3 linked regions of the Macaca mulatta genome follow. The protein of the gene in region 3 purifies or fractionates together with the protein of the main gene of each other region. This does not show direct contact. Links are inferred from orthologs where the notes say so. Each region holds a gene or a part of one and is shown on either strand. Other genes may lie near its edges.

Region 1 (10,610 bases), on a different chromosome or scaffold from region 3:
TATGGAGAAATTATGTTGGTTTACATGTCAGTGTGTGAGAATATGGCAGAAGGGAGTTAAAATAGTACGATAATACTAACTGGATAAATACTGTCATCTAACCAAAACCTTAGCCATTACATAGAATACTTTTGCTGTGAGCAGGTTTGCTCAATTGTAAAACTGGAAAGGAATCATTTCTTGCCTCCTCCCAAGCTTTTTACCTCCAAACAGTGACAGCCACCCAAACGTCAAGAGAACAGTGTTTTAGAGAACGTTTCTTTCTACTGGGGCTTCAGGAGGAGCCTACCCAAGATTTAGGCTGTTCGAATTATAAATTATAAAACAGCTGGCTCAAGCACATTGTGTTTAAGTCAGAGAGTGCTAAGTATCTTTTCTTTTGTCTTGTCTCCCTAATGTATTTATCTCATACTTCAATCAATTTAAAATATTTTTTCTTACAGATACAATTTGATAGAAGAGTCAACTTCCCCTGGAGTGGGGATTAAATCATAGTTTTATTTGAAGTATAATTTTGGCTTGCTCAAAATGAACAGTATCTGGTTATGACTAGAATGGCATGAACAGGTCGGACGCAGTGGCTCACGCCTGCAATTCCAGCACTTTGGGAGGCCAAGGCAGGTGGATCACCAGAGGTCAGGAGTTGGAGACCAGCCTGGCCAACATGGTGAAACCCTGTCTCTACTAAAAATACAAAAATTGGCCGGGCGTGGTTGTGGGTGCCTGTAATCCCAGCTACTCGGGTGACTGAGACAGAAGAATCACTTGAACCCGGGAGGTGGAGGTTGCAGTGAGCCGAGATTGCGCCACTGCACTCCAGCCTGGGTGATAAAAGCAAAACTCTGTCTCAAAACAAACAAACAAAAGAATGGCATAAACAAACACAGCTCACAGATGATCTAGTCTCTTTAGCCACTAATTTCATTATATTCTCAACTATAATTTCTTTGAAAACAAAGGATGGGTTTGGTTTTTGCCCCTCTTTGCACTGCTTGCCTTCAGATGGCGGGATGATCATGTTTCATTGGCCAAAGCATGAATTCATTTTGGAGGCTAAGAAAGATGCAAACACAGTGCACAGGGTGGAAGAGAAGCCTATGAGTACGTTGGGGCTTATTAAATTTCCATAACTTCATCCTGATAACTGATTAATAGTTATACTTTCCAAAATAGCTGACAATTAAAAAGGACTGATTTGTTTGTATATTTTTGTCTTTTAAGGCAAGCAGAGTGCTGGTAGCATCTCGTAATTTTGCAAATGATGCTACATTTGAAATTAAGGTAAGAGGTGTTTTACTTTGTTAATAATTTTTTCACAGGTACACTCTGATATACAGTTTTACTTTTAGAATAGAACATGTTCAGTCATTTTCTTCTAAACGTTCAGGATCAGAGGTTCAGAGAAGCTTCACGAAAACTAGAATTTATTAGCAGCAGCTTGCTGTTGTTCTGTGGGGGGTAGGGGGAGGAGCTAGAAAATAAAAATAAAAGCTTATTCTAAAGTTTAGAAAGTAATTCAGTGAAATATTTGAATAAGAAGAGTCTTAGTTGTTTCTTTGAAGGTTCTTTCAACCTATATCTCAGTTGGCTTCTAGGGGCTTTCAGTGAAAATCATAGAAAGATTTCCTTTCCCCAAACCCCATCTCATTGCACAGTGAGGTTTATGGATTTAAGGAACAGAGGCGATATGAAGCATTACTAATGTGCTCCTTAGCAGTTTTTCAAGTTCAATATTATTTGCAATGGAATTAGATCTTAGAGTGGTCAACAGTGTTTGCAGTGTAGTATGTGGAGGATAATAACTACCTTATTCCATTTCAGAAATGTGACCTTCACCGACTGGAAGAAGGCCCTCCTGTCACAACAGTGCTCACCAGGGAGGATGGGCTCAAATACTACAGGATGATGCAGACTGTGCGCCGAATGGAGTTGAAAGCAGATCAGCTGTATAAACAGAAAATTATTCGTGGTTTCTGTCACTTGTGTGATGGTCAGGTGAGTGGTAGGTTTGTGATAGAACTGTGTTTTTAGGTACTGAAGTATGGCTTGTACTTATTGGGCTTTACCCTGCCTTATGTATCAGAAGAGTTTGAGGCTGGTAATGTAATTTTCTTTTATTTATTTATTTTTTTGAGACAATCTCTCTGTCGCCCAGGTTAGAGTATAGTGGTGTGATCATGGCTCACTGCAGCCTCTGCCCCCTGGGCTCAAGCAGTCCTCCCACCTCAGCCTCCCAAGTAGCTGGGACCACAGGTGCACACCACCAGACCCAGCCAATTTTTGTATTTTTTGGAGAGACGGGGTCTCACTGTGTTGCCCAGGCTGGTCTCAAACTTCTGGGCTCAAGTGGTCTGCCCACCTTAGCCTCCCAAGGTGCTAGGATTATAGGCGTGAGCCACTGTGCCTGGCTGAAGCCAGTATTTTAGAATTAAAAAGTAGAATGCCAAAACCTGCTATGAAGCTTAGGCTAAAGAATTCATTCACACATAACATTGCCAGTTTTCTGTACCTGTTCTCAGAGTTTTACTATTTTAAAACTTTCTGGCACTGTGATCACCTGTACTGTATATAATTTGGAGAGAAAGGATTAGTTTGTTTTTTGTTTTGTGGGCTTATGTCAAGGGTTATAGAATCAAATACCTATAAGGGCCAGCCAGGTAGAATAAATGAGTGAAGAAGGCTAGGTATACAAAACAGAATGGTGACAGGGACTCGTGCTGAACTGGGACCAGCATGCCCTACCCAGAGGAATGCCATGACTTGGTTCCAGCCAGTTGGTGCCATGTGGAAATCAGGGGTAATGCTTCCTGTTTTCCATGTCTCCAAGAGAAGGCGGAAGTCTGGATTTTCATGTGAAATTCCCCAGTGTTTTAATGTTGACATCTGATGTAGGATTTGCTTTTAGGTCATCATACAGGAGAAAGGAAGGAAGTGGCCCATGTGTGGGTTGCCAGTTTATTGCTTCTGGCTTGGGCCGTCCGCTCTGTATTTTGGTGGAAAATAGCTACTTTCTCTGGTTATTAATGACAGGTTCTACTAGCCCAAATATTTCACTACGGTCTAGGAAACGTTTTTATTTAGAAACATGTATCGTATTGCTTCATAGTTTCTCCTTCCTCTAACAGGAAGCTTGCTGTGTGGGCCTGGAAGCCGGCATCAACCCCACAGACCATCTCATAACAGCCTACCGGGCTCATGGCTTTACCTTCACCCGGGGCCTTTCCGTCCGAGAAATTCTCGCAGAGCTTACAGGTTTGCTGTTGATTTACAGAAAGGGGAAATGAGTGGATTAAGTTTTTAAATATCTCTCATTAAGATGCTATTTTATGAGTTAATATTTAAAGTTTTAAGTTTCTTTTTTTAACCCTCTCTCCTTTGGTGCTCTGGTACTTCTGTTGTGCTCTTGAGTTAACTGACCATTTGTGAAGTTCTCTGGCCCCTCAGGTAAAAGTTTAAAACAGGTTAGTGCTATAAAATCACAATAGGTTTGGTTATCATTCAAGCATGCCAGCAGAAGTCTAGCAGTCATAAAAAAGTAAGTTGGGTTGAAGCTTGGTATGCGATGTAAATTCTAGAAATCTTCTTAATATTCCCCTTTTCTTTGTCCCCCTTGACTATTTTTTTGTTTTGGTTTTTTGTTTTGTTTTGTTTTGTTTTTTTTGAGACTATGTCTCACTCTGTTGTCCAGGCTGGAATGCAGTGGTGTGATATCAGCTCACTGCAACTGCCACCTCCCAGGTTCAAGCAATTCTCATGCCTTAGCCTCCCAGGTAGCTGGGACTACAGGCATGCACCACCACACCCGGCTAATTTTTGTATTTTTAGTAGAGATGGGGTTTCACCATGTTGGCCAGGCTGGTCTCCAACTCCTGACCTCAGGTGATCTATCTGCCTCGGCCTCCCAAAGTGTGCTGGGATTACAAGCATGAGCCACCACGCCTGGCCTGTTTTGTGTTTTTGAGACAGTCTTGCTTTGTTGCCCAGGCTAGAGTGCAGTGGCCTGCCTCAGCCTCCCAAAATACTAGGATTACAGGTGTGGGCCACTGTGCCCAGCCCTTCTTCTTCTTTTTTTTTTTTTGTTTTGAAGACAGAGTTTCGTTCTTTTGCCCAGGCTGGAGTGGCTGGAGTGAAGTGGTGTGATTTTGGCTCACTGCAACCTCCATCCCCCAGGTTCAAGCAATTCTCCTGTCTCAGCCTCCCGAGTAGCTAGGATTATAGGTGCCAAACCACCACAGCTGGCTAATTTTTGTATTTTTAGTAGAGACCAGGTTTCAGCATGTTGGCCAGGCTGGTCTCGAACTCTTGACCTCAGGTGATCTACCCACTTCGACCTCCCAAAGTGTTAGGATTACAGGCGTGAGCCACTGCACCCGGCCCTCCTGGACTCTTGAACTATGGTTGTCCCTCCATATATCCAGGGGATTGGTTCTAGGACCCTTGAATATACCAAAATCCTCAAATACTCAAGTCCTGAAGTCAGCCTTCCATATCTTCGGGTTTGCATCCTGAGAATATTGTATTTTCAATCCATGTGTGGCTGAAAAAAAAAAATCTGTATAAGTTTACCCGTGCAGTTCAAACCCTGTTCAAGGATTGAATATATTTAGTGTACTAGTAGAGGAGAGGTCCTAAGATGTTGGTAACTGGTCAAAAAACCAAAAAAGTCTAGGGTACCATCTGGACTTTTGCTAACATCTGAAGGAAACTAAGTGACTGGAGAGTAGGAAAAGCTGGAAAGGTTGAAGCACATGGAACTAGTAAAAGGACAAGCAGAAACGTGTTTGCCTGGAGAGACAGGTACTTAGATGACTGAATTGGCCTCTGCGTTCTAATGGTTGAGCCACTTGGGGTGTGGTTTGGTTTGCTTTGTAGAGTTGGTTTGTGCTGCACATGTGTATGTTCTGCCATTTCCAGGACGAAAAGGAGGTTGTGCTAAAGGGAAAGGAGGATCGATGCACATGTATGCCAAGAACTTCTACGGGGGCAATGGCATCGTGGGAGCGCAGGTAGTCAAGGACGAGGACTGTGTGCTGCTTTAGATTTGGCCCTGGCCTTTGTCTTCAAAAACTTTCCCAGCCCCAGACAACTTTTCGTGAAGTAGTATAGCCATGTGCTGCACAGTGACACTTTGGTCAATGTCGCATATATGATGGTGGACCCATAAACTTATAATAGAGCTGAAAAATTGCTGTCACCTAGTGATGTTGTAGTGGCACAACACATTACCTTTTCTATGTTTAGGTACGCAAATATTTTGCCTACAGGATTCAGTACAGTCACATGCTGTGCAGCGTTGTAGCCTAGGAGCAGTAGGCTCTACCATACAGCCTAGGTGTGCAGTAGGCTGTACCTTCTAGGTTTGTGCATTACAGTATGGTGTTCACACGACAAAATAGCTTAGTGATGCAATTCTGAGAATATATCCCTGTTGTTAAGCGATGCGTGACTGTATTTTGGGGGCTTGGTTTGCTTTTAAAGACCTAGTGCTTCATATCCTACCATTTGAGCGATGAGTTGAGTAGATTTGGATGGTGATTTATAATGTTTCCTTTTAGGTGTCTGCTATTTTATAAGTAAGCAAGAGCCTCTAGCAGTGGAGCCTACCTTCCCCTTCCTATTTGTATTTCAGTACATTGCCTTATCTTGTCAACTTCATTATGGAGTCCTTGTTCTCATCAGTTAGTGGATGATGAAGAATTAACAGCACAAAATTATATCCCAACTGTTTCTCTTCCTAATATATTAAGATTCTATTATGTGTTTTTTTAAAAAACCTACTTTTTTTTTCCCCCTTTTTTCTTTTGAAATGGAGTCTTGCTAAGCCGCCCAGGCTGGAGCAGTGGTGTGATCTCAGCTCACCGCACCTCCACCCCCGGGTTCAAGCAATTCTCCTGCCTCAGCCTCCTAAGTAGCTGGGACTACAGTTAAGCGCCACCGTGCCCAGCCATTTTTTGTATTTTTAGTAGAGGCAGGGTTTCACCATCTTGTCCAGGATGGTCTCGATCTCTTGACCTCGTGATCTGCCCAAAGTGCTGGGATTACAGGCGTGAGCCACCATGCCCGGCCACGTTTTATTTTTTAACTCTTGAATGCAGAAATGTTATTGCTTACTGGTTAAAATAGAACATAGTATTTATATATTCCTTTACTGCTTCATTGAAAGTATCGGGGGTGGGATAAACAGAGAGATGGGGTTGGAAGGAGAGTTTGTAGCAGCAGTGTAATTTCTGTGCCAGATTCTGACCAGGAGTTAAAATGCAGGGCATTGATATCTCCCCTCATGGATTTCTATGGTTCCTTTCTCGGTTGTCCTTAATGTTAGGTGCCCCTGGGCGCTGGGATTGCTCTAGCCTGTAAGTATAATGGAAAAGATGAGGTCTGCCTGACTTTATATGGCGATGGTGCTGCTAACCAGGTAATTATGTCTCTTAACTTTCCAATAACGGTCTTATTTTCAAAGTGTTTAATATTCACAGTTGAATTTCCAAAGAAGCAGCTTATTGCTTATTAGGTGAAATAGTAATTCCTATGGCTAGCTCAAATTTGGTTGACTTATGGCCAGATTAGAGAGTGACCTTTTAGCATTGTTTCACAAAAGACTTAGGGGGGCGCATTCCTGTGAAGGAGCTCACCTTTGCTCTATATCAGTGCTTGATAAAGGACCTCCCCTAACCTATTGCAAAATGATACAGACCCATTCTCTTGGATGTCCGCGCTGGCAGTGTCAAATTCGGGTAATAGCGTCTCAGTCCTAATTCAGTTTTTGTGCTTCTCTTGGTACCGAGTAATACCCAGTCTGTGGCCGGTACTCTGTGAAGCCCTGTTCTAGAGGCTGATTCTTAGGTGCTGGTTCACTCTGACTATCCAGTGGGCCCGATAGATTTCATACTGATCTTTTTTCCAGTGTGTTCCTTACTGCTAGCATGGCCCCAAAGAAACAAGTAGTAGTTGGTTTGTCATCTTTCTTAGTTGCAAGAGTATGATGCCTGCTGCTTCTCATCTGTCACCCACCCCGCTTTCCCTCACCATCCAAAGCTCGGTTTTTTGGTTGTTTTTTTTGTTTTGTTTTTGAGAGAGAGTCTTGCTCTGTTGCCCAGGCTGGAGCGCAGTGGCACGATCTCCGCTCACTGCAAGCTCTGCCTCCCGGGTTCACGCCATTCTCCTGCCTCAGCCTCCCAAGTAGCTGGGACTACAGGCGCCTGCCACCATGCCCGGCTACTTTGTATTTTTAGTAGAGACGGGGTTTCACCGTGTTAGCCAGGACGGTCTTGATCTGCTGACCTCGTGATCCACCCTCCTCGGCCTCCCAAAGTGCTGGGATTACATGCCTGAGCCACCGTGCCCAGCCCAAAGCTCGGTTTTAGAAGAGGAGGCTTTCTGTGCTTTATGAAAGCTTTCTGTGCCAGGCAGAGCAGCAGCTGTTACAGATGATGGATCCTAGAGAAAGAAGCCAAATGAAACCCCTTTTCATAACTACTTCCAGGGCCAGATATTTGAAGCTTACAACATGGCAGCTTTGTGGAAATTACCTTGTATTTTCATCTGTGAGAATAATCGCTATGGAATGGGAACATCTGTTGAGAGAGCAGCAGCCAGCACTGATTACTACAAGAGAGGCGATTTCATTCCTGGGCTGAGAGTAAGGACACCTGTGGTGGGGCCGGGGCCAAGGCCAGGGGTATGTCCTTGTGCAGACCCTTGACAATCTTAGAAACATTGAAGAGTTTCGTTCTCAAACATAAGCAGGTGATGTGAAAGTAAAATGGTTTGGGGCAGCTGGATTCATGCTTCGCCCCTCCCGTTTATTAACAGGTGGATGGAATGGATATCTTGTGCGTCCGAGAGGCGACAAGGTTTGCTGCCGCCTATTGTAGATCTGGGAAGGTAAGACTCTAAAGGCCTCTGGGCTAATGACATTTATCTCTGGAAGTTCAAAGACTGCCTCCCGTGTGCCTGCTGAAGCTGTTAGTGGGTAGCTGCTAATTGAGGTGCACAAGATGGAAGCAGAGTGAAGCAAGCAGGGCTCCTTTGGGTAGCTTGGTCTTGGTAGCTCACCTGCTGGGAAGCCCACATTTCTCTCATTTGGGGGAAGTCTGTCCTGGTGCTTCCTCTGCTTTCGCCTGTCTTCATCATGACAACTACACTGCCTTTTTGTTAGGTTAATTCTGTCCCTCCTCCCCACCCCCCATTAATCATGAGTCCCTTGAAGGAACAGATTGGGGATCCCCGTAGTGTCCAGCATAGAATGTCATGTATACAATAGGCATTTAATATGTGTGTCTTACACAAACAGTATGGTTGAAGCTTGTAATCTTAGTCTTGCTCAGTCCTAAGGATCTTTCCCTTCAGTGTATGGCAGTGAGGGAGATGGTAACAGGGAGACTGGCCTAAAGAGGTTTCAGTTCCTTCAGCACTAGTATAGGCTTAGGAGGTTTAGGTGTTCTCCCTAAATTAGTGTTCCACAGCCCAGACACAAGGTTTCTGAAGTTGTCACTTCAGTGCCATACCATGTATGTTTGGGCAGTGATGCAAATGTCAGAAAGTGGGGAGACAGGGAAGTAAGGGTGGGATGTAGTAACATTAAATAAGAGCTAATGAGTAGAATGAACTAGAGCAGGACCAAGATGACAGCTTGGATACAATGGGCTGAGCAGTCTGTCAGGACCCTAAGGCTGGGAGTGCCAGGCCCTGAGTGATGGATATTGACCCCACCTCTCCCAATTCCTGAAAAGAATACATGGGGGCCAGCCCTGGCTGGAGACATGGTGATTTGTAGAATGTATGACTTCCCAAACACATAACCTTCACAATTCTGAGTTAGGTGTTACTGTTTTGCCCATTTTGCAGACAAGGAAACTGAGCCACAGAGCAGTTAAAGGTACATAGCTACTCTTATCATGGAGCCAGCTCCCCACTCACCCATTTTAACTACTGCACCAAACCAATCAAGGATCCTCAATGTTTCCCCATCCCTCAGTGTTCAGAGCCATCTCCTGGAAGTGGGCTAGTGTAGAATGAGCAAGCCACTTGGTGATAGACCCCAAGTGGTCATACTCCCAGCAGAGCCTCAGGGTTTGGGTAGCAGAGGTTGTTGGTGCCTGTCAACTTTGTTACACACTAGCAGGATCTGTGAAGTAGAAGTGGCTGCCAGCCCCACAACACACTACGAGAAAGGAGCATGAGATGGAAATCTGCCTAGCCAATAGCAGGAGGCTCTAGAACATGCTCAAAGCCTTTTTTTTTTCTTTTTTTGAGACAGAGTCTCGCTCTGTCCCCCAGGCTGGAGTGCAGTGGTGCGATCTCGGCTCACTGCAAGCTCCGCCTCCCGGGTTCATGCCATTCTCCTGCCTCAGCCTCTCGAGTAGCTGGGACTACAGGCGCCCGCCACCGTGCCCGGCTAATTTTTTTTTGTATTTTAAGTAGAGACGGGGTTTCACCGTGTTAGTCAGGATGGTCTTGATCTCCTGACCTTGTGATCCGCCCGCTGCTGGGATTACAGGCGTGAGCCACCGCACCCAGCTGCCTTTTTTTTTTTCACAGGGTCTTGCATGGTGGCACACTCACAGCTCACTGCAGCCTTGACCTTCCAGACTCAGGTGATCCAAGTAGCTGGGACTACAGGTACATGCCACCATGCCTGGCTAATTTTTGTGTTTTTTGTAGAAATGGGGTTTTGCCATGTTGTCCAGGCTGGTCTCGATCTCGAACTCCTGGGCTCAAGTGATCCAACCACCTCAGCCTCCCAAAGTGCTGGGATTACAGGCATGAGCCAACACACCTGGCCTTCAAAGCCTTTTTGATTCAAAACAAGCTGTTGGTAGATTGCCTTATTATAAATGAGAAGACTGAAATATGCAATCAATACATGCTAGAAATGAGAACAGATCAGTCAACCAATAAGAAATCCATGATACCTCAAAAGATCTGGTAAGAATACACTGGATGCTTAATAAAGGGCCTGCGTTTGAGGCCGTGGAGTGTCAGCCTGCTCTTCACGTCATCGTTCCTAACTGCCTACCACTTCTGTTTTAGGGGCCCATCCTGATGGAGCTGCAGACTTATCGTTACCACGGACACAGTATGAGTGATCCTGGAGTCAGGTGTGCTCATGGGCACTGTGGTTTCCAGAGGGGGTGGGCTTTGAATGGTGTTACATGGCAAAAGAAACACATTTCAATATTTGCTTTTGGAGCTAGATACCAGTTCACTTCATGCATGCAGTTGTGTTGGCATCAAGTTACCTGAAAGCAGTGCCTCCTAATAAGAAAGCTTTACTGAAAATGCCTACAATGTATAGTGTGTGTGAGCACGAGCAGTGATTTTTAGAGTGTTATATACCTTAATTGTGCAGGAAAATTGTTACATAAAACAAGACCGATGGTAGTGTAGTATCTTGGGGGCATTTAGCTTTTGTAGGCATTACCCCAAGTCCATGCATGGCATACTCCACCTGAGGAGGATCAGAATTTGGAGATGTTCTTCTGTCTGGTATAGAGCTAAGGGTAACTAGGTGTTCAATCCGTTCAAATACATCAATCAAAAAAGCTAGGTTTCACTAGAAAGGCATGAATTTTACTTTTTTGCTTAGCTCTGGCCTGTAATTCTGGAAT
Region 2 (10,610 bases), on a different chromosome or scaffold from region 3:
TGACTTGGTTACAGTCAAAACCCCAGCATTTGCAGAATCTGTCACAGAGGGAGATGTCAGGTGGGAGAAAGGTAAGATTTAGTTTCCTCTCTTCTTGTTTTTCTTTTTGTTTTTGGTTTTTTTTTTTTTTTTTTTTTTTTTGGAGACAGAGTCTCACTCTGTTCCCAGCCTGGAGTGCAGTGGTATGATCTCGGCTCACTGCAGCCTCCACCTCCCAGGTTCAAGTGATTCTCTTGCCTCAGCCTCCTGAGTAGCTGGGATTACAGGTGCCCACCACCACGCATGGCCAAGTTTTTTGTATTTTTAGTAGAGATGGGGTTTCACCATGTTGGTCAGGCTGGTCTCAAACTCCTGACCTCAGGTGATCTGCCCGCCTTGGCCTGCCACAAAGTGTTGGCGTGAGCCACTGTGCCTGGCTCCTCTCACTTCTTAAGTTTAAGTGCTTTCTAAAATTCTCCCCTCCGCCAAGGATAGTTGTAGAATTTATAGCTCTGCCCTTTTCTTTACATATGTACTTTCCGCTGGCCCTGTAGGAAACGGTTCTTGTAACATACTGGAGGCTCCCCGCTAACAGGTAGCCTTTGATTGTCTTTTCAGCTGTTGGAGACACCGTTGCAGAAGATGAAGTGGTTTGTGAGATTGAAACTGACAAGGTAGGCTTATCTTATATTACCAGTTTTTCATGGGCTTCCCTTAGTTAACCTAATGAAACAGGGACTTAACCGTTGTTTAGAGATAATTTTTAACTAGCTCTAACCTCAGTTGTAAAATTATTGGATTTGTTCAATTTAAAAAAAAACTTTTTACATTTAACTTCCTTTTTTTTTTTTTTTTTTTTTTGAGACGGAGTCGTGCTCTGTCGCCCAGGCTGGAGTGCAGTGGCCGGATCTCAGCTCACTGCAAGCTCTGCCTCCCGAGTCTATGCCATTCTCCTGCCTCAGCCTCCTGAGTAGCTGGGACTACAGGCGCCCGCCACCTTGCCCGGCTAGTTTTTTTTTGTATTTTTTTGGTAGAGACGGGGTTTCACCGTGTTAGCCAGGCTGGTCTCGATCTCCTGACCTCGTGATCCGCCCGTCTCGGCCTCCCAAAGTGCTGGGATTACAGGCTTGAGCCACCGCGCCCGGCCAACTTCCTTTTTTTTTTTTTTTTCTGAGACGGAGTCTTGCTCTGTTGCCCAGACTGGAGTGCAGTGGCCTGATTTCAGCTCACTGCAACCTCCACCTCCCGGGTTCAAGCGATTCTCCTGCCTCAGCCTCCCTAGTAGCTGGGATTATAGGCGCATGCCACCACACCTGGCTAATTTTTGTACTTCTTATAGAGACAGGGTTTCGCCAGGCTGGTCTCAAACTCCTGACCTCAGGTGATCTGCCTGCCTCTGCCTCCCAAAGTGTTGGGATTACAGGCGTGAGCCACCGCACCTGACCTGCATTTAACTTTAAATTGTTTGCTGTGTGTGTACTATGTACTTCATTTAGTAGCTTTAGTCTTGTAGTGTGTGGTGATGGGGTGAGGAGGGTAAGTAAGCTGTTTCCAGTTTTTCCTGTATCACTTGGAAACCTATTAACTGAATATTGCCTGAATGTTTCTGAGAAAGGACAGAAAGGGTGAATCTTCACAATAGCGTTGACTTGTCATCACCTTTGCTCTGAAATTGTGGCCTTAGGTGTTTGTGTGCAGGGCCTTATATATTGTGTTACCACTCTTGTGACTCATTGGAGGTTTTTGTTGTTGTTGTTGTTTTGAGACGGCGTTTCGCTCTGTCACCCAGGCTGGAGTATAATGGTGCGATACTGGCTTCACCTGCCAGGTTCAAACGATTTTCCTGCCTCAGCCTCCCAAGTAGCTGGGATTACATTTTTGTAGTTTTTAGTAGAGATAGGGTTTCACCATGTTGGCCAGGCTGGTCTTGAACTCCTGACCTCAAGTGATCCACCTGCCTTGGCCTCCCAGTGTACTGGGACTACAGGCATGAACCACCGTGCCCGGCTTCGTTGGATATTCTATACAGCTAATTTTCTAATGCTGGATAAACATTTGGACTTCCTCCATCTGTCTTCCTCTTCCAGACATCTGTGCAGGTTCCATCACCAGCAAATGGCGTGATTGAAGCTCTTTTGGTACCTGATGGGGGAAAAGTCGAAGGAGGCACTCCGCTTTTCACACTCAGGAAAACTGGTGGTAAAGAAGTTCTCCTGGTGCTCAAGGTCTCCAGTGTTCCCTCTTGGGATTGGGACTGAGCATAATGTGCTAATTCCCTGATATGTCAAAGACTCTGTCATTCCAGCTGCCCTTAGTTGAGGGAATAAGGGGTAAATTTATATATAGTGTGAACTTTAAATGTCAAATTCTAGAAGAAAAGTTTATTTTTAAAAAAATAAACCTCATACTCTGTTCTTTCCATGGGTGTTTCTTAGCAGGAGCTGAGAAACTGAACCTTTTCTTATAGATACACAGATTGAGCATACCTAATCTGAAAACTCAAAATCTGAAATGCTCCAAAACTGAAAATCCAAAATCTGAAATGCTCCAAAACTGAAAATCCAAAATCTGAAATGCTCCACAACTGAAAATCCAAAATCTAAAATGCTCCACAACTGAAAATCCAAAATCTAAAATGCTCCACAACTGAAAATCCAAAATCTGAAATGCTTCAGAACTTTCTGAGCACTGACGTAATGCTCAAAGGAAATGCTCGTTGTCTATTATGGGGAATTCAGTGTTGTTTCTTATCACATCTATTCTCTCATATCTCTAGGAAGGGTTGGTATTTCTTTTGGGAAGAAATGAGAAACAATTTGTACTAGACCTGATAGGATTAGAGATTAATAACTGTTTATCTGACTCTTAGTGAAATTTTATAACCACTAAAATGTCTATTTCTTTTTCCTAAGCGAGAATCATACTCGTAGACCAACGAGTCACAAATGTCTATTTCTTTTTCATTGTTACACTAATAATGCAGATCGACCACATGATTGAGGTTAATCAGGCAAGACCAGAAGCTCAGAGTAGAAAACATGTATGGTAGAAGGCTAGGAAATAAGGGTAGTCCTCCTGTTGCAGAAGTTTGTCTTAGCACTAACCCTGGATGTAATATCCAGATGGGTGAAAAATAGAAACAAACATTTCATTTAAAGTTGTGAGATTATTACTTGGCCACCTCAGTGATTTATGAGTCATCCTGGATGAAGCGCTTTTTTAAGCCTAAGTCAGCCCTCGATGAATTTTTTTTTTTTAATTTTTTTTTTTTTTTTTTTTTGAGATGGAGTCTTGCTCTGTTGCCCAGGCAGGAGTGCAGTGGCCTGATCTTGACTCACTGCAACATCTGCCTCCAGAGTTCAAGTGATCCTCTTGCCTCAGCCTGTTGAGTAGCTGGGACTACAGGTGCGTGCCACCATGCACAGCTAATTTTTGTATTAGTAGGGACGGGGTTTCACCATGTTGGCCAGGATGGTTTTGATCTGTTGACCTCGTGATCCGCCTGCCTTGGCCTCCCAAAGTGCTGGGATTACAGACGTGAGCAACTGCACCCAGCCTATTTTTTAGTAGTATTCTTGCATATATAATGTTAGAATAGAGGATGGAGAGTATCAGTAATTAGAAATACGTTTATGTATGCATTTCAATATTTTAAATTGCCTAGACTTTTTTTTTTCTCTTGGAAGTTTACATTTTCTTGGGCTTGGTAGGTGCTTTGAAAGTACTTGCTGAATTTATTCAGTAGAAACCTGTGAAATCGAGGAGGGAGCTAAATTGAGCCAGTTATCTGATGGACATTCAGGGACCCTGAGGAATAGAGAATAGTGCCTTATGTCATTGTGTGTGTGTCTCATAGTGCCTTGCATATTGCCAATACCCAGTAGACATTTGTTACTTGATTGGAGCTAGAGTTTTTGCCACTAAATTTGGCTTAGTAGCTGTGATTTGGTTGCTTTCCATTTCAGATAGTGCCAGTGGCATCTACTTTTCTTGTTTTTCAGCTGCTCCTGCTAAGGCCAAACCGGCCGAAGCTCCTGCTGCTGCAGCCCCAAAGGCAGAACCTACAGCAGTGCCAGTTCCTCCCCCTGCAGCACCCATACCCACTCAGATGCCACCAGTGCCCTCACCCTCACAACCTTCTTCTAGCAAACCTGGTAGGCTTCCAACTCCCACGTGTCATGTGGGGGAACATCTCGTCTAATATGTTGCCTCAGGGTAAACTCTAAGACTAATCATGGTTCTGAACAGGCCAGGTTGACTGCCTTGTAGAAAGAATTCTCGACTTTGTATCTGAAGTTCTGTTTTGCATCTCAGCTTTCTGTTACTAGCTGTGTGTCTTTAGGCTAGTCACTTAATTTATCTGAACGGATTATTCATCTGTGAAGTTGGAGTGATACTAATACACCTCAGAATATCTTGAAGGTTAAGTAACAGGACATATGAAAGCACTGGCACAAACTCAGTAGATGTTTCTTTCTTTGTCTGATGCCACTTTATCCTCTCTTCATTTTCAGTGTCTGCAGTGAAACCCACTGCTGCCCCACCACTAGCTGAGCCAGGAGCTGGCAAAGGTCTGCGTTCAGAACATCGGGTAAGCCTCTGCGGACCACTTCCAGGAAAGAGGCAGGGGGCAGTGTTGAGATTAGTGGAGTATGGGTGTGGTGGTGCCTACCTTTGAATGGCTGGCAGCTCATTCCCTCAACCTTGACAAAGGGAGTTTAGAATATAACTTCTTCATAGTCACATCACCATCAAATGATAGAACTAGAACCCGAGGTCTTCTGAACACTTGTTCAGTGGCTTTCCTGCTATATTATGCTCAGTGAAAGCCTTGGGTAAGTTAAATATTTGTAGGGGATGGTAGCTTAGTAACTCACCCCCTTCCTCCCACGATGTCACACACTTCAGAGAGGTGGTTTAGTGAGCTCTATTCCTATACTTCCGGGATACTTAGCTGTAGCTAAGGGATAATACTCAGTAGCAATAGCTGTCAGGTGCAGACATAAAACCTCAAGGAAGTATGGTCAAGAGTGTGGTTCTTCTGCCTGAGAATACTTCCTAAAAATATGATAGCCTCAAAAGTTTGTTGCTTATGAGGTTCCGTTCCACAAATAGCTATTGTCATGCAAGTCTTTAGCAATAGAAAGTGCCCTTTTTCTTATGATTCTTATGTTGGCTAGACTACACTACACTACATTCTTTCATAAATTGGTTTTGGTTTTTAAATCACCGTTTCTGAGCCTTCATTCTTGGTCAAGCTTCAGGCACATCTGAGTGAGTAGTTTTGGCCTGTGTTTGCATGTTTTTGCTTGGAGGAGAAAGGGCCACTACAGGAAAGGGAAGCCTGGAGCTCTTGTTTTACTTAGGTACTATAGCCCTTGGCCATCCACTCGTGGCAGGCCATGTTCTTTCTGACTACACGGGGAATGCTTGACCCAGAGAGATCAGATTATCAATGCTTGTTCCACTCTCGCTTTCAGGAGAAAATGAACAGGATGCGGCAGCGCATTGCTCAGCGTCTGAAGGAGGCCCAGAATACATGTGCAATGCTGACAACTTTTAATGAGATTGACATGAGGTAGTGTTTCTAGCCCCTGTTATCCCCTAGGCCCTTTTTTCTTAGAGAACACTCGAACTTGCCCCTGTCCTTATCTCCTTATCTAGTGCTGATTCTAAAACTTAACTTGTCAGGGAAGAGGTATTTCTTTGCTTTGTTTATTGTTTTTTTTGTTGTTGTTTTGTTTTTTGAGACGGAGTCTCACTGTCTCCCAGGCTAGAGTGCAGTGGGGCGATCTCGTCTCACTGCAAGCTCCACCTCCCAGGTTCACGCCATTGTCTGGGTTCACGCCATTGTCCTGCCTCAGCCTCCTGAGTAGCTGGGACTACAGGCGCCTGCCACCACGCTCGGCTAATTTTTTGTATTTTTTTAGTAGAGATGGGGTTTCACCATGTTAGCCAGGATGGTCTCGATCTCCTAACCTCGTGATCCATCCGCCTCAGCCTCCCAAAGTGCTGGGATTACTGTCGTGAGCCACTGCGCCCGGCCTGTTTATTGTTAACTTTCACAGAGCGACCCACTGGCTTCTTCTCTAATTGGCTTTCCTGATACTATGCCTGCCTTCTCCATGACCTTAACCTTAGCCTTGGCTAGGTGTAGTGGTTCACACCTATAATCCTGGCACTTTGGGAGGCCGAGGCAGGCAGATTGCTTGAGTCCAGGAGTTCAAGACCAGCTGGGTAACAAGGTGAAACCCCACCTCGACAAAAAATACAAAAATTAGCCAAGTGTGGTGGTGCACACCTGTAGCCCCAGCTACTTGGGGGGCTGAGATGGGAGGATCGTTTGAGCCCAGGAGGTTGAGGGTACAGTGAGCTGAGATCATGTCACTGCACCCCAGCCTGGGTGACAGACTGAGACACCCTGTCTCAAGAAAAACCCAACAACTTAGCATTTTAGACTTTTAAACCTGAATCTTGCGATTTCTGATAAATGAGAGTAGTCATAGTTGTACACTCTGACTAGTGTCAGGTTGCCAAACAGAGATGGGACAACCAGGCCAACGTGGTTTATGCAAAGGTCTCCCACTCGGGATGGAGAAGCCGTGACAGCATGCCGAGAGCCTGGGCACCACATCCTACTTCTTTTACACAGGGGTTGCTCCTTACATGTTTTCCTAAGTGATTCAGAATCGGGTAGATGAAAAGGCAAAGATAGGCTAGGCTTGTCTTTCATTTTACCCAGCTTTGATAGTAAAATGGAAAACAAGTTGTGTTTTTAACTAACCTTAGAATGTTAACCAAAGGTACTAATTCACTGGGTATGCCCATTTCTGTAGTGAGCTAATTGTTGACTCACCTGTTTTCTTCAAGATTTTGATGTGTTCAGGTATCAGCACTGTCAGGAAGAGAAATTTGACAAACATGTTTTGAGTGTGTACTGTGTACAGAGTACTGTACTGTGGAATTCAGTGGGGTTATAGACTGGGCGCCATGGCTCGTGCCTGTAATCCCAGAGCTTTGGGAGGACAAGGAAGGAGGATCGCTTGAGCTTAGGAGTTGGAAACCACCCTGGGCAACATAGCGAGACTGTCTCTACATAAAATTTAAAAATTAGCCAAGTGAGGGCTGGGTGCAGTGGCTCGCACTTGTAATCCCAACACTTTGGGAGGCTGAGGTGGTTGGATCACATGAGGCCAGGCCAGGAGTTCGAGACCAGCCTGGCCAACATGGTGAAACTCTGCCTCTAGTAAAAATACAGAAATTACCCAGGCATGGTGGCGCGTGCCTATAATCCCAGCTAATGGGAAGGCTGAGGCACGAGAATTGCTTGAACCCAGGAGGAGGTTGCAGTGGCAGAGATTGTGCCACTGCACTCCAGCCTGGGCAACAGAATGAGACTCTATCTCAAAAAAAATAAAATAAAATCAGGTACGGTGGTGTGGACCTATAGTCTCAGCTACTTGGGAGGCTCAAGTGATCCTCCTGCCTCAGCCTCCCAAATGACTGGGACCACTGGGAACACAGGCATGTGCCACCAGGCTTGGCCAATTTTTTTAGTTTTTGTAGAGACAAGGTCTTGCTGTGTTGCCCAGGCTGGTCTCCTGAACTTCTAGGGTCAGGCCATCCTCCTGCCTTGGTCTCCCACTGGAATTATAGGCATGAACCACCAGGCCTGGCCAGAAAAGAATTTTTAAACAGGTCTTCAAGAATGGCTAGCATTTTGTCAGCCTTGTGGAGAAAGGTCATTCCAGACGATGTTAACAGTGTAGACCATGAGATGGGAAAGTAGAAGACACATTTGAGAAATTGTCAAAAATCATTTCTGTTGTGAGGATTATGTATAGCAAAGAATGGTAAAGAAGGTTGGATCCTTACTTGAGAATGTTTTGAATGCCAGGGTAGGAGTTTATATTTAAGTCAGGAAGCAAATCAAGTCTCAGGTCATCTCTTTGTTTCTTTTTGTCCTGAGGGTTTAGTCTGCATATCTACTTTTCATTAGAGAAATTTGCTTTTCTTTGGGAAGGCTTTGAAAATAGGGAGAAGGGAAGCTTTCTTGGTAGTGTGCTGTGGTATTGTTTAGAGTAGGGCTCTGCGACCTGTTTTACTGGATGTCATCCATTCTATTGGGAAACTTTCTGAAGAGACTGGATGACATTCAAGCCAAAGATTTCTCTCTTGTTCACAGGATGTAGGGGAAGGACCTTGACTAATGAATCACAAAGGCTGCAGCTTATGTTTCAGTGCATTAGGGCCAAATTGTACACAAATTGAATTGGACTTTGAAATTCTACCCAATTTCTTAAGACAAAACATGTAAATATTTGTGTCCCTGAAAGATGCAGTTGGCCCAACAGCTTTGATTGGAAAGTAAGCATAATAGCTGGATCTCCTTTCAGCAGCTAATCAAGGTGTCACTTAACAATGGCTTGCAGTCTTGCTGCAGCCTAATTTGGTTTAGATCGAGTGCCCTTTGGGTCTTGTGCTGATCAGCTAACCCATAAGGGACCTTTCTGAGACCTTCTCCCTTTCCCTGTTGTCCCAGCCTTTGCCTCCAAGGGCAGAGCTCTGAAATAGAAACTACTTAATGACCAGACAATGACATTTGGGCAGGTTTGAGAGCAGAGATGTTTATCACATCTCTTTCCCTCTTCTGCAGCTCTTGTGTCTTGGGAACCAGTAATGTCTTTAGGGTGGTAATCCTAGCACTAAATAAGGTTAGAATCAGGAAAACAAGCATTTTAAACCCAATCAGTCCCCCTTGGAAAAACTTCCTTTTTCAAAAACAAAAGATTTGAAGGGGGCTGTTAAAATTGTACCACATCTTACCTTTCATGCTAATGTCTAATTAGGCCATTAGAGGGAGAAAGGGAGAACCGAGCATTTGGCCCTGAGATAAAGTTAAATTCAATTTTCATCATAGAACTGCATTATTACATTCCGATAAATACTGAGGTTTCTGCAGCAAAGTGATGGGAAAGCCATTTCCCACTAACTCTGCAATGTGTCTTTGAAAAAAACCAGTCCCAAGAGAATAAAGGCTGTTCATGTTGTAAAGGCTTTTCAGAAGACTTGCTGCTTCATCTGAAGGGGAGCAGCCTAAACCACAGGTAGCCACTTTTCTGAATACCAAGAAATCACAGCCATTAAACTAATCTTAAGGGCAAGAGCTATGTCTTAATTAGCTTTGTATCTTGGTGCCTGGCCCTGACCCTCACATGTAGTAGGTGTTATTGCCTGTTTGAAAGAATAAGTGGATGGAACTGCTAACTCTGGAAAGATGAAGAATGAATATGACTTTCTATGAGTCTGAAAGAACACTGGGTTATACCCTTCTGTGCATAGTCATGACTGCTTTTTCCCACATGGAGCCTCATGTACCTGTGAAGTGTTTATTTTAGTCTCCACTAATCAAGAGATACGAGGAGTATCACATGGGAGTTATACTCAGATTTAGTGGGGTTTTTTTTTTTTTTTTTTGTATTCTAACAATAAATAAGAATATTGCTTATTTTGTAGATTTTGTTTATACTTTAAAACAATTTTTTTTTTCAAGATGGATAGCTCAGTTATTCAGGGGAAGGATGTTGGTGTGCTGTGTGATCTCTTGTTCATATGATGTGTCACTGAAATCTGACTTCTAGACCATGAAGGAGCGCTATAAAGAGCTTAACCCACCTTAAAGACAGATTGGGCCTGATTCCTTTATATTTCTTTGTAAAAGAACAGAGTTACTGTGTTAACCTCAGGTAGACTATTTCAAAACTTGAACTAAGGTAATGGTCCAGAGTGAGGGAAAAGCTCTCACCTGATTGTGTATATGGAGTGAGAAACCTGTGTGAAAGTCAAAATACAGGCTTTGTGGTCAGTTTGTTTTGTAATGTTTTCACAGTAACATCCAGGAGATGAGGGCTCGGCACAAAGAGGCTTTTTTGAAGAAACATAACCTCAAACTAGGCTTCATGTCGGCATTTGTGAAGGCCTCAGCCTTTGCCTTGCAGGAACAGCCTGTTGTAAATGCAGGTGAGTTGCTTGTGGCCAGAATCAGAGAGGTCCTGGAAGGTAGGTGTATGAGCACAGACCTGCTCCCACATGCAGAGGATCAACAGACCAAGGCTTTTTATTTGCTACCTGTAGAAATATGGGTATCTTCCCCAGGGATTTCTTGGTTCACTTCCTTGAAGCAGCATCATGATTACTTTCTCCCCACCAGCTGGGCAGAACAGTTTCTCTTCCCAGTGTACTGCTTGGCAGCTGCTCAGGCAGCAAGCAGTTGTGGGATAGCCCAGTTCTCCAGGCTGTCTCCTATCAAGGTGGAAGCTCGTGTTCTGGCTTCCTCCCCTTCCCCAGCTCCACAGGCCCTGTTACCTTGGGGCCTGACTTCCACACTTGGTGTAGGCTCCTGGCTGACCATCTATCTCAGGTCGATGGGCCTCACTGGGAGCTTGGGCTTGGCCTCTCTTTGATGGACTTGGTGCTCATTTTCTTTCCTTTTTACTCACTTATGTCATTGTAGTGTGGACCTAACAAGCACTTTGCTTTCCTGTTGACACACTTCTCTGTTCCTTGGGAGATTGGAGAGGGGGCAGTGATACTTTTGCCATCCTCAGCAATGTCAGGGGCCCTAAAGGTCT
Region 3 (10,610 bases):
TAGTGTACTTCTTATAATGTAATCCTTTAAAATCAGTTTAGTTGTTTTTATAAAGCAGACATTGAGCTTATGTTCAGATAAAAACCACATTCTTTGCATTTGGAAATCTGATTTTCTAAACCTAAGTGACTTTGAACCTTTATTCTTGCTTTAATTTAATCTTGTTCACTCGCACTCATTATTTCAATCTATATCTTAGTCTTGATTCTGTCATTCTTGTACTTAACTGCTTTTACTTTTCATAGTTCATAAATTTTGGAAGTATGACAATTAAGGCACGCAGTCCCATCGTCTGGTCCGATCTTGGTTAAGCAAACTTCCGTTGTCATTCACATCATTAGTACAAATTTTTGACCAGGATGAAATATTGAAAGCCATCTGACAGTACAGTCTTTCATCAGTTATAAACACCTTTGATGTTTATTCGTCTTCATTTCTCCATCAAATCTACAAAGATATCATGAGATTTTCTTAAATTTTTTTTTAACACCTTGCTGATACCAAAATATACTACATTAACCAGTCCAGAAACCCTTCAGAAAGTAAGAGTGGTTAACGTGACCTGTTTGGAACACTTGTGGTAGTGTCTAATGATTGTGAAACCAGCTGATTAATAATGTCTTCTAGTGTTTAGCAGAATCTCTTCTTTTCCATTTTTGAAAATTTAGGCATATTTGCCTGTCTGCCACCTTTTGGCAGTTCCCTTGTGCTAAGTTCCCAGAGTTCACTGAGAGTGCCTGTATTGTCAATGTTTTTTTTTTTTTTTTTTTTTTTGAGACGGAGTCTCGCTCCGTAGCCCAGGCTGGAATACAGTGGCATATGATCTCAGCTCACTGCAACCTCCACCTCCCAGGTCCCAGTTCAAGCAATTCTCCTGCCTCAGCCACCTGAGAAGCTGGGATTACAGGCACGCGCCACCAACCCAGCTAATTTTTCTTTGTATTTTTAGTAGAGACGGGGTTTCACCATGTTGGCCAGGCTGGTCTTGAACTCCTGACCTCATGATCCTCCTGCCTCGGCCTCCCAAAGTGCTGGGATTACAGGCGTGAGCCACCATGCCCAGCCGGGAATTAATTCTTTAAAAATGACCAGTTGTTCTTAATCTTGGGCTTTGCCTCTTGGTTAACAATATTTCTTCTGTTCATTCTACTTTGTTCTCATAGTTGGATAAAAGAAGAAAAAAGGAATAACATTTACTTTATTTTATTGGTCATAATAATAATATCTGCAAGCAATAATTCTGTTCATCTCAGCAGTTTTGCTTTAGGTTTTGTATAAGCCTTGAGTCTTTTGACACAATGAGTTAGATATCTGTGACCGTATTGAATTAGTTTTTACATGTCTTTTTAAAAACTTAAACTTATTAGAGAATTTACTGTGTAGTCATAATGTTTATTTTCTCATAAAGATTATTCACATGACTGTATTTTTATTTTTTATATTTTGCCTTTCTTCTTCCATTCCAGTTTAGTGTAGTATTAAAGAACAAATGTTTTGGAATTGAACAGATTTAAATTTGAATTTCAACTCTGCCTCTTACTGACTTATGTTTTTGTTAAGTTAATGAGCCACTCTGAACCAGTTGGTTTGTCATCAAAAAGGGGATAAAAATAACTAACTTAAAGGACTATTGCTGAGATTTAATACATTTAAAACACTTAATGCAGTGACTGGCATTTAGTAAGCTCTAAATAAGTGGTAGATGCTGTTGAGTTTTCGTGTCTGTAAGTATTTTAAAATCAGTTTTCCTAAAGAGTAGGGCGCTTGTCTATGCTCATCACTCCCTACTTTGAATTAGACTCCAAGATGATGTTTCTTATCATTTCCACACTCCCATTATTTCCCCTCTATTTACTCCTATCCCAGTTTCCAAGAATGGTCCTTTTTTTTTGTTTGCTTTTTAAACAGCTTTATCGAGATATAATTCACATACCAGTTCACCCATTTAAAATGTACAATTCAAAGGTTTTTAGTATATTCATAGAGTTGTACAACTGTTACCACTGTCTAACTCTAGAACATTTTCATCACCCTAAAAGAAACTTGGTACCCATTAGCAGTCATTCTCCATTTCTCCCTTTGCTCAGCCCCTGGAAACCACTAATTATACTGTGTCTATGAATTTGCCTATTCTGGGCATTTCATATAAATGGAATCATACAATATGTATTATTTTGTGTCTGCTCTCTTTACATAGCATAATGTTCTTATGGTTCATCCAAGTTGTAGCATGTATCTATACTTCATTTCTTTATATGGCTAAATATCTCATTCTCTGGATATGGCACATTTTGTTTATCCATTCATCAGGGGTGGACATTTGGGTTGTTTCTACTTTCAGACTATTATGAATGACACTGCTGTGTCTATTTGTGTACAAGTTTTTGTGTGGATATCTGTTTTCATTTCTCTTGGGTATATAACTAGATGTGTAATTGTTGGGTCATATGGTAATTATTTTAACTTCAAGGAACACCGTTACACTGTTTTCCGTACAATCCCACCAGCAATGTAAATTTCTGTTTGCTCCACTTTTCCACTGGTACTTGGTATTGTCATTTTTTTAAAAAATTTGAGCTGTTCTAGTGGTTGTGTAGTAGTAACTCATTGTGGGTTTTTTTTTCCTATTTTTATTTTTTAAATTGCTACATAATAGATGTACTTTTTTCAAGGTACATGTGATAATTTGATACATTCGTATAATTAAATCAGGGTAATTAGGCTATCCATCACCTCAAACTCTTTTTTTATGATAGGAACATTGAATTATTCTCTTCTAGCTATTTTGAAATGTATAATTGATTGTTACCTATAGTCAACCCTGCATTAACACCAGCTCTTATTTCTTCTAATTGTATATTTGCACTGATTAATCAACCTCTCTTCATTCCTCTTCTCCCCCTAGCCTTCCTAGCCTCTGGTAACCATCATTCTGCTATCTCCATGAGTTCAGTTTTGTTTTTTTTTTTAACTCTCACATATTAGAACATGCGATATTTGTCTTTTCTATGCCTAGCTTATTTCGCTGAACATACTGTCCTTTGGTTCCATCTGTTTTGTTGCAAATGACAGAATTTCATTCTTTTTTTATGGCGGAATAATATTCCATTGTATATGTGTACCACATTTTCTTTATTTGTCTGCTGATGGACACTTGAGTTAATTCTATATCTTGGCTATTGTGAATAGTGCTGCAGTAAACATGGAGTGCAGATATTTCTTCAATATATTGATTTCCTTTCTTTCAGGTATATACCCAGTAGTGGAATTGCTGGCTCATATTGTAGTTTTATTTTTAGTTTTTTGAGGAACCTTCATACTGTTTTCCGTAGTGGCTTTACTAACTTACTTCCCACTAACAGTGTATGAGGGTTCTCCTTTCTCCACTTCCTTGTCAGCATTGCCATCTTTTTGATAAAAGCCATTTTAACTGGGGTGAGATGATAGCTCATTGTGATTTTGATTTGTATTTCTCAATTAATAATGTTGAACATTTTTTCATACATGTGTTGGCCATTTGAATGTCATCTTTTGAGAAATGTCTATTCAGATCTGGTGCTCATTTTAAAACTGGATTTTTTTTTTGAGCTCCTTATATATTCTGATTATTAATCTCTTGTCAGATGGATAGTTTGCAAATATTTTCTTCCATTCTGTGGGTTGTCTCTTTGTGAATTGTTTCCTTGGCTGTGCAAAAGTTTTTTAACTTAATGTAATCCCATTTGTCTGTTTTTGCTTTATTGCCTATACTTTTGAGGTCTTACACAATGAGTCTTTGCCCAGACCAGTGTTCTGGAGCATTTCTCCAATGTATTCTTTCAGTAATTCTATAGTTTCAGATTTTAGATTCAAGTCTTTAATCCATTTTGATTTGACTTTTGTATATGGTAAGAGATAGGGGTCTAGTCTCATTCTTCTGCATACGGTTATCCAGTTTTCCTAGCACCATTTATCGATGAGACTGCCTTTTCCTCATTGTGTTTGTGATACCTTTGTTGAAAATGAGTTAGCGGAAAATGTGTGGATTTATATTTGGGTTTTTTATTCTGTTCCATTGGTCTATGTGTCTTTTTATGACAGTATTATGTTATGCTATTTTGGTTACTATAGCTTTTTAGTAAATTTTGAAGCTGGGTAATATGATTCTTCCAGGTTTTTTTTTTTGTTGTTCAGGATTACTTTGGCAGTTGAAGAATGTCATTGGTAGTTTGATAGGGATTGCATTGAATCTGTAAATTACTTTGGGTAGTATTGTCATTTTAACGATATTAATTTTTCCAGTCCATGCTATTTTTTGTGTCCTCTTCAATTTGTTTTATCAGTGTTTTTTAGTTTTTTATGTATAGACCTTTCACATCTTTGGCTAAATTGATTCTTAGGTGTTTTATATTCTCTGTAGCTATTGCAAATGGGATTGCTTTTTTTTTTCTTTTTTAGATTGTCCACTATTGGTGTATATAAATGCTACTGATTTTTGTATGTTGATTTTGTATCCTGCAACTTTACTGAATTAGTTTGTAAGTTTAATAGTTTTTTGGTGGAGTCTTTAGGTTTTTCTAAATATAAGATCATATAGTCTGCACAAAAGATTAATTTGACTTCTTCCTTTCCAATTTGATTGCCCTTTGTTTCTTTCTCCTCTATAATTGCTGAGGCCAGGACTTCCAGTATTATGTTGAGAAAAGTGGTGAAAAATGAGCATTCTTATATTGTTCCAGATCTTAGAGGAAAGGCTTTCAATTTTTCCCCGTTCAGTATGATGTTGGCCGTGAGTTTGTCTTACTATTTTGAGATGTGTCCCTTCTATATCTAGTTTTTTGAGGGTTTTTATCATGAAGGGATGTTGAATTTTTATTAAAGGCTTTTTCAGCATCTGTTGAAATGATCATATGGTTTTTGTTCTTGGTTCTGTTAATGTGACGAATCATGTTTATTGGTTTATGTATGTTGAATCATCCTTGCATCTCTGGGATGAATCCTGCTTGATCATGGTGAATGATCTTTTTAATGTGTTGTTGAATTCAGTTCATTGTGGTTTTAACTTAGATTTCTGTAATGACTTACAGGGTTGAGCATTTTTTAATGTACTTATTTGCCATCTCTGTATATCTTCCCTCTTCAGACATTTGTCCATTTTTTATTGAATTTTTCTTACTGAGTTTGGAGAATTCTTTATATATTCTGGATATAAATCCTTTATCAGATAGAAGTTTTGTAATTTTTTTCCCCAGTCTGTGGCTTCTGTTTTTGTGTTCTCAATGTTATCTAAAACTTTCTAATTTTGATGAGGTCCAATTTATCATTTTTCTTTTATGGATTGTGCTTTTGGTGTTACATCAAAGAAATCTTTGCCTAACTCAAGGTCAATTCTAGGATTTCCTCTCCTAGGTGTTCTTCTAGAAGTTTCATAGTATTGGGTTTTTTTTTGTTTTGTTTTGTTTTTGTTTTTTTTTTTTTGAGACGGAGTCTCGCTGTGTCTCCCAGGCTGGAGTGCAGTGGCGTGATCTCGGCTCACTGCAAGCTCCGCCTCCCGGGTTCACGCCATTCTCCCGCCTCAGCCTCCCAAGTAGCTGAGACTACAGGCGCCCGCCACCACGCCCGGCTAGTTTTTTGTATTTTTAGTAGAGACGGGGTTTCACCATGTTAGCCAGGATAGTCTCGATCTCCTGACCTCGTGATCCACCCGTCTCGGCCTCCCAAAGTGCTGGGATTACAGGCTTGAGCCACCGCGCCCGGCCAGTATTGGGTTTTACATTTAGGTCCATGATCCATTTTGAGTTAACTTTTATATGTACATAGTGTTAGATTTTTAGTGTCACTGTATTGCCTCTAGTTAACTCAGTCTTCATACCAGAAATTCATGAGATTTTTTAAATGAATGCCCACACCTAATTTAGGGAAGGTAAACTTGTATAGTTCATTTGAATTACCAGATGGTTTTAGTATACATTCTTGCAAAGGATATGTTCATGGTTTTTCATATTTAATGCTGTGAAATTATGTTTATCTTGCCAGTTATGTATTGTTTAATATATAATTGTTTAGAAGTTATGCTAATTTTCAAAATGTTAAAGTAAACTGGCGTTCAGTTTAAATTATAATTTGAATGAAAAAGTAAAAATTTGTCCTTTGTTGAGAAAAGAAAATAGGAAGCCAGTTTAATATTCTGCAAACATCAGTGATTCGTAGCCTACTTCCTTTTCCTCAAGACCTTTGCACTTGCTGTTTCCCTCTGCCTAGAACAACACTTTTCCCCCAGTTAACTAGATAGTTCATTGCCTCATTCTTTCAAGTTTTGTGCAAATGTCACTCCCAGTGAGGCTTTCCCCAACCGTGCTATTCAAAATTGTAATCCCGGTAATCAGTAGTCCCAGTTCTACTTCCTGTTTTATTTTTCTTGTAGCACTTTATTCTCTGTTATGAACTTTACGTATTTGTCTATGTCCCCTGCCAGAATATAAGATCCTTGAGAACAGAGATTTTAGCTTTGTTCACTAATGTATGCCTAGAAGCTAAAATACTGCCTAGCATGTAGTATTCAACAGATATTGAATGAATAAGTTAATAAATGTATGAAGTTATACATATTTAACACAGGGTTAATTTTAAACCTCAGAGCTTCTCATAGGAACATACTAGTGAAAGAAGAAAATATTTTACAATAAATTATTAAGATGATTTCATAAACATTTGCTATAGAAACTTTTATGATTATTGGGGTTTTTATTTGCAGGGTTCAGTTTGGCAAAGACTTGGTGCAGATGTGACAGCAGTTGAATTTTTAGGTCATGTAGGTGGAGTTGGAATTGATATGGAGATATCTAAAAACTTTCAACGCATCCTTCAAAAACAGGGGTTTAAATTTAAATTGAATACAAAGGTTACTGGTGCTACCAAGAAGTCAGATGGAAAAATTGATGTTTCGTAAGTATACATCATTTGTTTTTGATGTAGCATCCCTGTCTTGTTTCTTGAAGGAAAACACTCAAGTTTCAAAATCAGCTTAGCAAATACAGGTTTTTTTATAACGTAAGGTCATTTTATTACTTAATATCACTCAGTTGCTTATCAAATTATTGCATTAGCACATTGAAATTTATGATTAGGTTAATGCTAGAAAGATTAATCCAATATTCTCATTGTTGTACCTTCTTATAGTGTATTCAGAAAAATTTAAATTCCCAATATTCAATAAAATTGAACCAATATTTTTTGGCAGATATATGGGGAAATCAGTAATAAAAGATTGTTTACTATACGTCTGGTACTCTACTGATTAAATACTTTAGTGGCATTTCACATATTTAATGAATTAGTTCTTAAATAAATATTTAAATTAAATAGTTAATAGTATTTAAATAGTTTAATAACTAACTTTTACTCAAAGATAAGAAGCTGAATTCATTGACTTAATTAATGACTAACTTGCCACACAGCTAGTGAGTGGCAGTCAGTAGTTGAATTTGGATTTTTGTGACCCAGAGACCATATTCTTAACTGCTGGTTTATTATACTGTGGTTTTTGTGAGATTTTAATAATGGACCTCTAGATTTTAATGATAAATCTCTTTCATTGTCTGAGTCTTATGTTTGCATTCAAATAACTTATATTGTTAAAAATGTCATCAGTGCTGGCTGGGTGTGGTGGCTCACACCTGTAATCCCAGCACTTTGGGAGATCGAGGTGGGTGGATCATGAGATCAGGAGATCAAGACTAGCTTGGCCAACGTGGTAAAACCCCATCTCTACTAAAAATATAAAAATTAGCTGGATGTGGTGGTGTGCACCTGTAGTCCCAGCTACTCAGGAGGCTGAGGCAGGAGAATCTCTGAAACCTGGGAGGTGGAGGTTGCTGTGAGCTGAGATTGCACCACTGTACTCCAGTCTGGCGACAGAGCAAGACTCCATCTCAGAAACAAAACAAAACAAAAATGTCATCAACAGTTGAGAAATAACTGGCCTTAAATTTCTAAGCCTATCAATTTATGCAGATGTGTATTTAACATTTATATACTGTTTGTTATCTAGTATTGAAGCTGCTTCTGGTGGTAAAGCTGAAGTTATCACTTGTGATGTACTCTTGGTTTGCATTGGCCGACGACCCTTTACTAAGAATTTGGGACTAGAAGAGCTGGGAATTGAACTAGATCCCAGAGGTAGAATTCCAGTTAATACCAGATTTCAAACTAAAATTCCAAAGTAAGTTGGATAATTGTCTGCATTTTCAGTAATTTTAAAATTTATTTCAAACAGTATTTTGAAAAGTAAGATTTTTATGCTTAGAATATGTATTGGCTTTGGGGAAGAACAGTAAACTTACAAAATGTAAAATAAAAAAGAACTGAATTTTACTCAGAGATAAGAAGCCGAATTCATAGATTTTTGAAGAGCTGCATTTGATACATTTTTTGGTGACTTATTTACTGGAAACTTCTGTTACCATGATTTAACTGAAGATAAGTAGCTGTGCTTTCAGAAATTCATTGTGTTTCTTTTGATTTCTGTGGTAGTATCTATGCCATTGGTGATGTAGTTGCTGGTCCAATGCTGGCTCACAAAGCAGAGGATGAAGGCATTATCTGTGTGGAAGGAATGGCTGGTGGTGCTGTGCACATTGACTACAATTGTGTGCCATCAGTGATTTACACACACCCTGAAGTTGCTTGGGTTGGCAAATCAGAAGAGCAGTTGAAAGAAGAGGTAAGTCTGAACATGGGTGGTTTTACGCCAATGTGTGAGTTGTGCCATTGACACTGGTGGTTGAGAAACAGCATTTTATCATTAGGCTAATGTATTTAACAGCTGTGAAATATAGTTTAGCTTATATATTTTTTCCCTTGTTAGCATTATAAAGAGATCATTCACAGATTTATCAGCAGTAATTGAGAGGAGGAGAAGTTGCTTATATTAAAAAACTAGTAATTCCAGATTTTTTATATTTGGCTTTGAAATATAACCAGATGGACAGACATTTGTATTTGCTTGCATTTGTGCCCAAGATATATTTCATTAACCAGTCTTTTGGTCTTTCCTTCTATGTGCTTTGCGAACAATTGCCTTCTTGGGATTTATTTTCTGAACAAATGGTAGATGATGTTACTAATTGGAATGAACTTTTCTGGCACTTACGTAGATTCTTTTTTTCTGACTGTCACACAGGGTATTGAGTACAAAGTTGGGAAATTCCCATTTGCTGCTAACAGCAGAGCTAAGACAAATGCTGACACAGATGGCATGGTGAAGATCCTTGGGCAGAAATCGACAGACAGAGTACTGGGAGCACATATTCTTGGACCAGTGAGTATTATAAAACCAGAGAAATCCCATTAAGATTTCTAGAAAGCATCACTGTTTATTAATTATAAACCGCCTGGTGTTACTCTGAGGTTGCTCATTTCCAGCAAAACTTTGAATATGGCTCTCTCTACATCATTTCTAGAAGAATACCAGCAGCACTCTCACAGTCTTGCTCACTGTATCATCTACTTTCTGTCCTGCAGCCAAGATTCTCTCTTTAAAACATATACCAGATTATGCCCCTGAAAGTCTTCCAGTGGTGCTTTTCAACTTCAGATTGTTACATCCAGGGCCTCACTGAATCTGTTTGTGCCTACTTTTCTGACCTCTTCTTTTTCTGCTCTCCTTTACTCATTAATTCCATGTCACATGGGCCTTCTCTCATTTTCACAACAGGCCAAATGTTTGCATTTTAGGGCCTTTGTGCTTAAGGTACCCTCTGTTTAAACTCTTCTGCCTCCAGATCTTTGAATGGCTGGCTCCTATTGTTCAGGTCTCAGCTCAAATGTTACCTCCTAAGGGAAGCCTTTCCTACCACTGAGCCTAAAGTATATATCTTTCTTATAGATATCTCTTGTATCTGATGTAACAATAATGAGAATAGAATATTTGAGTGCTGTGTCACTTTAGTATACATTTTGTTATTTTTACATAAGCTTTGTGAGATAGGTGCTGTTATTTTTGAGGTGAAGAAACTGAATGAAGCACACAGAACCAATGAATGGTTAAGGTAGTAAATGGTAGATATGAATTGAAGGCCCTTTGGCTTCAGAGCCCAAGCTCTTCAGTGTCGCCTTTTCTGTTAAGCTTTTCCTGACTTTTCTTCAACTGATAGACAGATTTAAGGCGTTTTTAAGATCTAAAAGCTTCCTCTGTTAACCATTGCTATCCTATTAGCATGTAGTTTTTTACCATGGTAGCAAATTTACTTGGCTTGTTATTTTAAAGGGTGCTGGAGAAATGGTAAATGAAGCTGCTCTTGCTTTGGAATATGGAGCATCCTGTGAAGATATAGCTAGAGTCTGTCATGCACATCCGGTAATTATTAACAACATATAGAATTGATGGTTGCCTAAATTTTCTTCTGGCCCACAAATATTTGTTTTTTAATTCTAAATTTCTTCCCTTGCAGACCTTATCAGAAGCTTTTAGAGAAGCAAATCTTGCTGCATCATTTGGCAAATCAATCAACTTTTGAATTAGAAGATTATATATTTTTTTTTCTGAAATTTCCTGGGAGCTTTTGTAGAAGTCACATTCCTGAACAGGATATTCTCACAGCTCCAAGAATTTCTAGGACTGAATTATGAAA

Evidence for each region. The genes of interacting proteins can lie anywhere in the genome.
Region 1: the proteins of DLD (region 3) and PDHA1 purify together in Homo sapiens (affinity purification with mass spectrometry; 4 studies listed by BioGRID and IntAct, counting the BioPlex papers as one, with this or other methods). This does not show direct contact. The link is inferred for Macaca mulatta from reciprocal best matches to the Homo sapiens genes DLD and PDHA1.
Region 2: the proteins of DLD (region 3) and DLST purify together in Homo sapiens (affinity purification with mass spectrometry; 3 studies listed by BioGRID and IntAct, counting the BioPlex papers as one, with this or other methods). This does not show direct contact. The link is inferred for Macaca mulatta from reciprocal best matches to the Homo sapiens genes DLD and DLST.

The regions. Positions count from the first base shown.
Region 1 is NC_133426.1:19,085,005-19,095,614, forward strand, and holds part of PDHA1 (pyruvate dehydrogenase E1 component subunit alpha, somatic form, mitochondrial), read left to right. Parts: intron 1-1,221; coding exon 1,222-1,281; intron 1,282-1,821; coding exon 1,822-1,995; intron 1,996-3,125; coding exon 3,126-3,252; intron 3,253-4,914; coding exon 4,915-5,006; intron 5,007-6,322; coding exon 6,323-6,415; intron 6,416-7,483; coding exon 7,484-7,639; intron 7,640-7,812; coding exon 7,813-7,884; intron 7,885-10,032; coding exon 10,033-10,100; intron 10,101-10,610. UniProt on the Homo sapiens protein: The pyruvate dehydrogenase complex catalyzes the overall conversion of pyruvate to acetyl-CoA and CO(2), and thereby links the glycolytic pathway to the tricarboxylic cycle.
Region 2 is NC_133412.1:148,086,441-148,097,050, forward strand, and holds part of DLST (dihydrolipoyllysine-residue succinyltransferase component of 2-oxoglutarate dehydrogenase complex, mitochondrial), read left to right. Parts: coding exon 1-71; intron 72-597; coding exon 598-653; intron 654-2,066; coding exon 2,067-2,178; intron 2,179-3,980; coding exon 3,981-4,133; intron 4,134-4,493; coding exon 4,494-4,570; intron 4,571-5,459; coding exon 5,460-5,557; intron 5,558-9,868; coding exon 9,869-9,999; intron 10,000-10,610. UniProt on the Homo sapiens protein: Dihydrolipoamide succinyltransferase (E2) component of the 2-oxoglutarate dehydrogenase complex. The 2-oxoglutarate dehydrogenase complex catalyzes the overall conversion of 2-oxoglutarate to succinyl-CoA and CO(2).
Region 3 is NC_133408.1:147,508,932-147,519,541, forward strand, and holds part of DLD (dihydrolipoyl dehydrogenase, mitochondrial), read left to right. Parts: intron 1-6,733; coding exon 6,734-6,924; intron 6,925-8,029; coding exon 8,030-8,200; intron 8,201-8,511; coding exon 8,512-8,701; intron 8,702-9,160; coding exon 9,161-9,298; intron 9,299-10,246; coding exon 10,247-10,336; intron 10,337-10,430; coding exon 10,431-10,496; 3' UTR 10,497-10,610. UniProt on the Homo sapiens protein: Lipoamide dehydrogenase is a component of the glycine cleavage system as well as an E3 component of three alpha-ketoacid dehydrogenase complexes (pyruvate-, alpha-ketoglutarate-, and branched-chain amino acid-dehydrogenase complex).